2 linked regions of the Ovis aries genome follow. The protein of the gene in region 1 purifies or fractionates together with the protein of each later gene. This does not show direct contact. Links are inferred from orthologs where the notes say so. Each region holds a gene or a part of one and is shown in the gene's direction. Other genes may lie near its edges. The genes, in order: RPRD1B and POLR2G.

Region 1 (3,812 bases):
TGTCTTTTTTGTTTGTTTTTGTTTTCTTCCCTCTTTGTTTATAATTAATGAGCTTGACACATTTAATTTTGGTAGTGGCTGCGGAGATCAAAAACGTCATCTTTGTGACATTCATTTTGTAGAGCAAGTCCAGGAAAGAATTGAAGTAGGTAGTGTCCTTTCATTTAAACAGCCAACACACAGGTTGCTAGAGCATTTCATACATGTTCCTTTAGTCTAAACTGGAGGTTTAGAGTAAATACTAAATATACTAGATATTTAGTTCTATACTAGATATCACGCATCCTTTGAAACTAAGCAGTGTAAACCAGACTGCATTTTCTTAAGTTTCCAAAAACATACTCTTTAAAAAAAATTCTTTTTCACAGTTATGTAGAATTTCATTTGTGTTCTGCCTCATACTTAGAAATACTGTGTGCATTCTCTTAGAATCCGAATCACTGATTCAGTATACACTCTGGGGTAAGGACAGTGGTTCTTTTTTAAATGTCAGGGATGATCATTTATAGAATTCGCCTTCACCTTGTTGAACTCCAGCTAAGTTTCTCTAAACCCCACATCCCCACATATCTTCATGGATGGTGTTATCTTTGTTTTCCTTGTACAGACTGAGGAGCTGATCAAAGCTTTGCAGGACCTAGAAAATGCTGCATCAGGGGATGCTACTGTCCGACAGAAAATTGCTTCTTTACCCCAGGAAGTGCAAGACGTTTCTCTTTTGGAAAAAATAACAGGTGAGAAGTTAGAGGTCGGGTGAAGGATGAGGGAGGGGAAACATATCTCCAGTGCATCAGACCCCAGGACGTGCCAACGTCTGCAGATAGAGACCTTCCACCTGGGGCTGGGTGCTCTATTGTCTTGAGATTTGCAAACATAACTCACAGACTGAACAGAGGAGCTGCTGGCATAGTCTGAGCTTGAATACTCGAGGAGTTATTGCAGAAATGCAACGTGCCTCAGCCTGTGGTACTCAGTTTAAGTAAGGTCTTTTGAAACCAGGGTACAAACTGTGTGTGCAGGAGGGCAAAGGAGGGGGAAGCATTAAACTCAAGACCCTCTTTAACAAAAAAGAGATGTATGGCTCAGTGTCATGATTTTTACACTGTACCCTGCCACGCCCCCTTGAGGTTCTTCAGTGCCGGGAACCCCCTGTTTATATGGTTAATCATATCACCTTGGCCTTGTGATGATCACCCCCAATTAAACAGGGAGGGGTGGTTGACATTCTTCCCGCTCTATGCGTGGTCAGTCAAGAGGAAGGAGTGCGCGTGAACTCCACACCCCGCCCCGCCCCCGCCCCCGCCTCCAGTTAGGAAGCAAGCTGTGAGGAGACGTGAGGGAAGGCAGTGCTACTCAGACAGAGGGGCCGGGAAGCCCGTCAGGCAGGAGTGGGATAGCTGGAGAACACAGCCTGGCCTCCTGGCTCGCTCTCTGCTCCCCCCACCCCAGATATCAAACCCACTGGATCGAACAACCTGTTGAGCGTACAGACTGTTGATCTTTCCCCCTTTTCACAACCTTTAGCCCCCTCCTGGCCTCGTGTTCTGTTACTCGGCTTCGGATCCTTATAATCACCCTTCACACACACCCTCAGTGCCTTTTGCTCTTTTTCCCCTTCACCCTATAGTCTCCTGGAAAAACCCAACTTTTTGAATCACAGTCTGCAAAACTGAAAACAAGTTAACATAAAATTAGCAGCATGTGTAATTGCATTTGTCTGTTTTCACTGACTTAAAGGACTTCAGTTTCAGTTCAGTTCAGTCGCTCAGTCGTGTCCAACTCTTTGCGATCCCATGAATTGCAGCATTCCAGGCCTCCCTGTCCATCACCAACTCCCAGAGTTCACTCAAACTCACATCCATCGAGTCAGTGATGCCATCCAGCCATCTCATCCTCTGTCATCCCCTTCTCCTGCCTCCAATCCCTCCCAGCATCAGAGTCTTTTCCAATGAGTCAACTATTCACATGAGGTGGCCAAAGTACTGGAGTTTCAGCTTTAGCGTCATTCCTTCCAAAGAACACCCAGGACTGATCTTTAGAATGGACTGGTTGGATCTCCTTTCAGTTCAAGGGACTCAAGAGTCTTTTCTAACACCACAGTTCAAAAGCATCAGTTCTTTGGCGCTCAGCATTCTTCACAGTCCAACTCTCACATCCATACGTGACTACTGGAAAGGACTTACATGGCTTTTAAAAAGTATTTATTTATTTTGATTTTTAATTATGGTGAAATACACCTAACAAAACTTGCCATCTTAACCATTCTGAAGTGTGCCATTCAGAAGAGCTGAGTACATTCACGTTGTACAGCCAATTTCTGGAACTCATTCCATCTTGCAGAACTGAAACTGTCTATCATTAAAGTAACAATTCACTGTCCCCATCCACTCCCCAGCTCCTGGCAGCCGCCACTCACAATTGTATGTGGCTGGACAAAACAAATGATAAACATTGGCTAACTTTTCTTCCTATTTCTGTGGATGAGCATGCTGTTTTCTAAAGCAGCCCATTAGCCTAGTAAACCTGTTTCTTCTTACCTACCCAAGGGCATGTTCCAACAATTTTCCCCTTTTCTCCTGCATCTCCAGTCCCTCCCCCGCCCCCGCCCCACTGGGTCATTCTCCATAGCATAAAAATACATATTTTTTTCCCATGTGGAAAATTTTTTTTTCTTGGCCGGGTACATTCCTCTGGCTATTGTCTCCTTTCTCTGTTGTGTAGCTGAACATTCTAAATAGATGGCATATACTCATCTGTCTCTATTCTCCCCACTCCCCCTTTTGGTTTCACTTCACTGACTGCTCTTATCAGTGTTGGCTGATGACTTCCATGTTGCTAAATTCAGTGGTGAATGTTTTCTGCCCATTGTGTGTGGTGCAGAGTATAAAAAGAGACAAAGTTTCTGACGTAGACATCAGAAGGGGGATGGAGAGTGCCCCCCTCACTAGTCTTATCAAGGCCTTATATATTTTTGCCCATTCTTAATTTGGCCCAGTTGATCATTTCTTCTTCCTAAAAATACTTTCTCACTTGGTGTGGTAGGCAGAATAATGGTCTTCCCCAAATGTCCATGTTCTGATCCTTAGAGCCTGCAAATATATTGTCTTACATAGAAAAAGGGACTTTGTGGATGTGGTTGAGTAAAGAATCTTGCGGCGGGGAGGTTATTCTCCTGGGTTAGTCAAGTGGGCCGGGTCCTTAGAAGAGCAAGGAGAGCAGGAGTAAGAGATGTGACTGGGGAAGCAGAAGTTGGAGGGATGCATTTTGAAGAGAGAGGAAAGGGCCATGATGATAAATGTCAAGGTAGTACGTTTGTGTTGTTCTAAGCCACCAGGTTTCTGATGCTGTGTTACTGGCGGCAGGGGGAAGCTGGGACGGCGTATGTTCTGGCCTTCCTCTCTAATCTCGTGTCTTTTCAGGCTCCTTTGTTGATTTCTTCCCTTCTTCTCTTAATTTTGAGTAATTAGCTCTCTTCCCTAGTTAATTTCACTGACAGTTCCTTTCATCCTGTTTGATGACTTTAAATAACAATTTTTGTGGTAATGATCCCCTAGTTTACATCTCTAGGGTTGACCTCTTCCTTGAACTTGAGACCCATACATCCAGCCTCCTGCTCTGAGTGTTACTGAGTCGCATATCCTGAAGGACATTTCAGACTTAACCTGTCCCAAACCAGACTCCTCCTCTTCCCTCCAAATTTGTCTCATGGTCTTCCCTATCTCAGTAGATGACCCTCATCATTCCTGTTGATCTGAACTACGGCTTGAACCTGACACCTGTTACCACCTCCGCTGCTGCCACCTAGTGGGAAT
Region 2 (3,912 bases), on another chromosome or scaffold:
CATTTAGGCAATTCCAAGGGTTTTAGGAGTTCTGTGACAGAAATGGGGAAGAAGACCAAGTATATATGTGTTGGTGTTTTTATTATAAATATCACAGTTACTTTTGTCTTGTTTCAAATTTTTTATTATGAACAATTTCAAACGCAGAAAAGTAGAAGAAAGTGTAAGAAACCACCATTATCCATCATCTGTCTTCAACGATTATTAATATATTGCTAAACTTGTTTCATCTACGTCTTTGCCTTCTTTAGTATAATTCATTTAATCATAAGTTAAGACAACTAAATTTTTCATAACTGCTGTGTTTAACAACTGGCTTGCAAAGTGCCTGAAATATTAACAGTTGGCTTTTGTAAGGGTCTCCAGCACACCACACCATTGCTCTTGCGGGGAGGCTGGTTTCAAAAGAGGGAAGGAGGGAGTTGAGGCTGTTGAGGCCTGCCCTTTGATCTGCTGTCTGCTTCCTCATGTGGTCTCTGGTGGAGGGGATCCCCATGGAGTCTGAGCAGCTGACCAACAACCTCAATCGTTCTAGGAAATGGGCAGCATCAATGGAAACCGGTGTGTGACAGCTCTAAGGAAATCAGGCTTTCTTGCTTACAATATACTAAAACTTGCTCAGGCAACAGGCGAGTTTGTTCAAGACCCCAGGGACTGTGGAGGCTTTAGAACCAGCCGCCCTTGCTGAGCCTTTGTCATAGGGGCGGGTCTCATGGTGTTTCCGAGACTCAGCAGCCCACAGACTACATGCTCATTCTCGTTGTGCTGAGTTTAATAAAGGGACTATCTGCAAAAGGGGGGGGTAGAGCTGAAGGAACAGGTAAAGTTTGCTCACCAGTTCTACAGGCCCTTGTGTGTAAGGGGGCGGGGGAGGGTGGTTAGAGGAGAGCAGTGACTTGAGGTTCTTTTCACACCGGGAGGGGGCGCTGCCTTCTGGGCTCTGACTAGGCCGGTTTCAACTCCAAACTACAAGAGCCCGGTAATAAATGCCTGAATATGCAAGAGCCTTGGAGTCAGGCATGTTGAATTTGAATCTCGACCCTGGGTGACCTCACCCTTCTGAGCCTGGTATCTTATTTGTAAATGAAAGTAATAACAAAGCCTGCCGGGTAGGGTTGCTGTTTAGATTAATTGAGATAAGGATAGCTTCTTACTATGCTTACTATGTGAAAGCAGTCTTCAACTCTTTGCAGAATGAATAGACTCTGCTAAAGCGCTTTATTTATGCGATCTCTCATTAATTAATTCCTTTTAAAGGTATTTATTAAGCATCTAATCTATGCGAGATACTGTTATGCTTAAGGGAGTTGGGCGCTTTGACGGCTGGACGGAGGGGAGGAGCCTCATGGGTTTCCCCACCCACGACAGCGAAGCCCAATGGGGACCCGTGGAGGCTGTGAGTCCCGCCCACTTTTCGGGGCAGGCCCGGAAACGGGGTTGGAGAGGTTGCTGTATTTCCGGTCGGTGTGGCGGCTCCGCTGCTCGTGAAGCGGTAGACCCGGCTCCTGTTCAGCTTCCTTCGGGAAGATGTTTTACCACGTGAGCAGGGCACGGGGTGGCGGCGAGGGCAGGGTCAAGAGGAGGAGCAAGCGGAAGGCCGGGACTAGGGGCGGCTTCTTGCCTCATACTCCTCCCGCTCCTTGCCCGACTCCATTCCAGTTTCCCCCCAGATTTCCCTGGAGCACGAGATTCTGCTGCACCCGCGATACTTCGGCCCTAACTTGCTCAACACGGTGAAACAAAAGCTCTTCACCGAGGTGGAGGGGACCTGCACCGGCAAGTGAGTGTCGCACCCTCCCTGCCGCCTAAACACTGCGCACACGGCTTTCTATGCTTGCACCCGCTTCCCAGCGCCTACACACCGTGAAAGCTTCTGCTACCTACCCTGGCAAGCCCTCTCACCCTTCCAGGCAGTTAGCTGCTTCCTGCTTTGGGTTCCTACGGTGCCCTCTGTGAAGCTCCATAACAGAACTGCCTTTCCTCAGCCAACATTTGTCATTAACTCTGCAAACATTTCTGAAGCTCCGGCTGTGTGCCAGGACTGGGCCCTGGGAACAATGCAGTGAAAAAGACAAAATGAGGTCAGCCCTTTCTTTATCCCTCATACCCAGGGACCTGGCATGGTACATCTTGGGCCTCACTAAAAGCTTGTTGAATGAATGAATGGGCAGGATAAGGCAGATTGAGAGTTAACCGGAGGAAGGAAGAGGAGTGAGACTTGACCATCTCTGGGCTCTGCACAGAGGCGCTCCGCACATGGTGAAGTAAATGAGGGGGGAGGAGCAGGGCCGCAGAGTACTCAGGTATCCAGCATCAGAGTAAGCTGAGGTGTTCTTTGAACATACAGGTTCCTGAGCCTCATCTCATTTCTACAGCATCAAGACTGGGGACCAGCCCGGGAACAGGCATTTTAATGTTTCTCTCAGGTGATTCTGAGACATCGCCAAGGTTGAGATTAAGGACTGCAGCCCTTTTGGACACTGATTGTGAAATTATGAGAGCAGCGTTTGGCATTATAGCTGCTGCTGATTGTCCTGTCTCCTCTCTTGATCATTAAGCTCTCCTGGGGCCAGGGGGCCGACTACTCCCCCCTCTGTGCTCCCCCTTTACCTCTAGGGTCCGTGACTCTTGCAGCAGATGCTTTTTTGTATTTTTTTCCTGGCTGCGTTGGGTCTTCGTTGTTGCACGAGCTTTCTGTAGTCGCAGCAGAAATGAGAAGTGTGTGGGTTTCTCATTGTGGTAGCTTCTCTTGTTGAGGCACACGGGCTCTAGGGCTTGGGCTTAGTAGTTGCAGCGCACTGGCTTAGCTGTTCTGTGGCGTGTGGAATCTTCGGGGACCAGGGATTGAACTTGCGTCCCCTGAATTGGCAGGGGACTTCTTAACCACTGGGCCACCAGGGAAGCCCTGCTGTGGCAGATGGTTTCAGAGGCTCTTCCACACACAGTGTCTCAGTTTCTCTGCCTCCTTGCAGGTATGGCTTTGTAATTGCCGTCACCACCATCGACAATATCGGTGCTGGTGTGATCCAGCCAGGCCGAGGCTTTGTCCTTTATCCAGTTAAGTACAAGGCCATTGTTTTCCGGCCCTTTAAAGGGGAGGTCGTGGATGCGGTGGTAACTCAGGTCAACAAGGTAAGAGCATCCACAGGGGAGGTAGTGGGAAGGTCCCTCTCTTAGAAGATCTGGGATGGGTCCCACTTTGGTCAAATTCTGTGTCTTTGGTCAGATCACTTCTCTGTGCTTCAGGTTTCCTCACCTGTCAAATAGTATGGTACTGCCTCACTCAGGGGCATGTAAGTCAATAGTGAGTCAGAACAGTAGTAGCCTCCACTGTGGACCAGGTAGTGTGCAAAGCCTCTGACTCTGAAATGAGTGCTTTTATCTCCACGCTGAAGCTTGGAGAAGTTGAGTCTTCTGGCCACGGTCACGTGTCCAACAAGTGTTCAAAACCCAGAAGGACAAGTTCTAGGTCTCAGCTGTTTACTGCTACACTTCCTTAGCTTAGAATGAAAGCTTGGAAAAACAAACACACACATGACAAATTTCAGAGTGGTTTCAGAATATGAAGAACATTGTTAGGAACCAGATAAAGATGGGAGGCTTAGGAGACTGGGGGACAAAAGAAAAAGCAAGGTCTCTCTTTTCCCTTCTAGGTTGGACTCTTCACAGAAATCGGGCCCATGTCCTGCTTCATCTCTCGACACGTAAGTCTAGGCACGCTGGGTGGGTCTAAGAAGGAGACCTGTACTCATGAGAATCTACTGAAGCATCCTTTTCAAGTGCTCTTACCCAGTTTGACCTTCCTTTCAGTCCATCCCATCAGAGATGGAATTTGATCCTAACTCCAACCCACCGTGTTACAAAACGATGGATGAGGTGAGTGGGCAGAAGTTGGTGAGAGGGCCAGGGGAA

Evidence for each region.
Region 2: the proteins of RPRD1B (region 1) and POLR2G purify together in Homo sapiens (affinity purification with mass spectrometry; 3 studies listed by BioGRID and IntAct, counting the BioPlex papers as one, with this or other methods). This does not show direct contact. The link is inferred for Ovis aries from reciprocal best matches to the Homo sapiens genes RPRD1B and POLR2G.

The regions. Positions count from the first base shown.
Region 1 is NC_056066.1:66,922,971-66,926,782, forward strand, and holds part of RPRD1B (regulation of nuclear pre-mRNA domain-containing protein 1B), read left to right. Parts: intron 1-607; coding exon 608-734; intron 735-3,812. UniProt on the Homo sapiens protein: Interacts with phosphorylated C-terminal heptapeptide repeat domain (CTD) of the largest RNA polymerase II subunit POLR2A, and participates in dephosphorylation of the CTD by RPAP2. Transcriptional regulator which enhances expression of CCND1.
Region 2 is NC_056074.1:37,615,649-37,619,560, forward strand, and holds the start of POLR2G (DNA-directed RNA polymerase II subunit RPB7), read left to right. Parts: upstream 1-1,448; 5' UTR 1,449-1,527; coding exon 1,528-1,539; intron 1,540-1,670; coding exon 1,671-1,780; intron 1,781-2,972; coding exon 2,973-3,132; intron 3,133-3,653; coding exon 3,654-3,704; intron 3,705-3,810; coding exon 3,811-3,876; intron 3,877-3,912. UniProt on the Homo sapiens protein: Core component of RNA polymerase II (Pol II), a DNA-dependent RNA polymerase which synthesizes mRNA precursors and many functional non-coding RNAs using the four ribonucleoside triphosphates as substrates.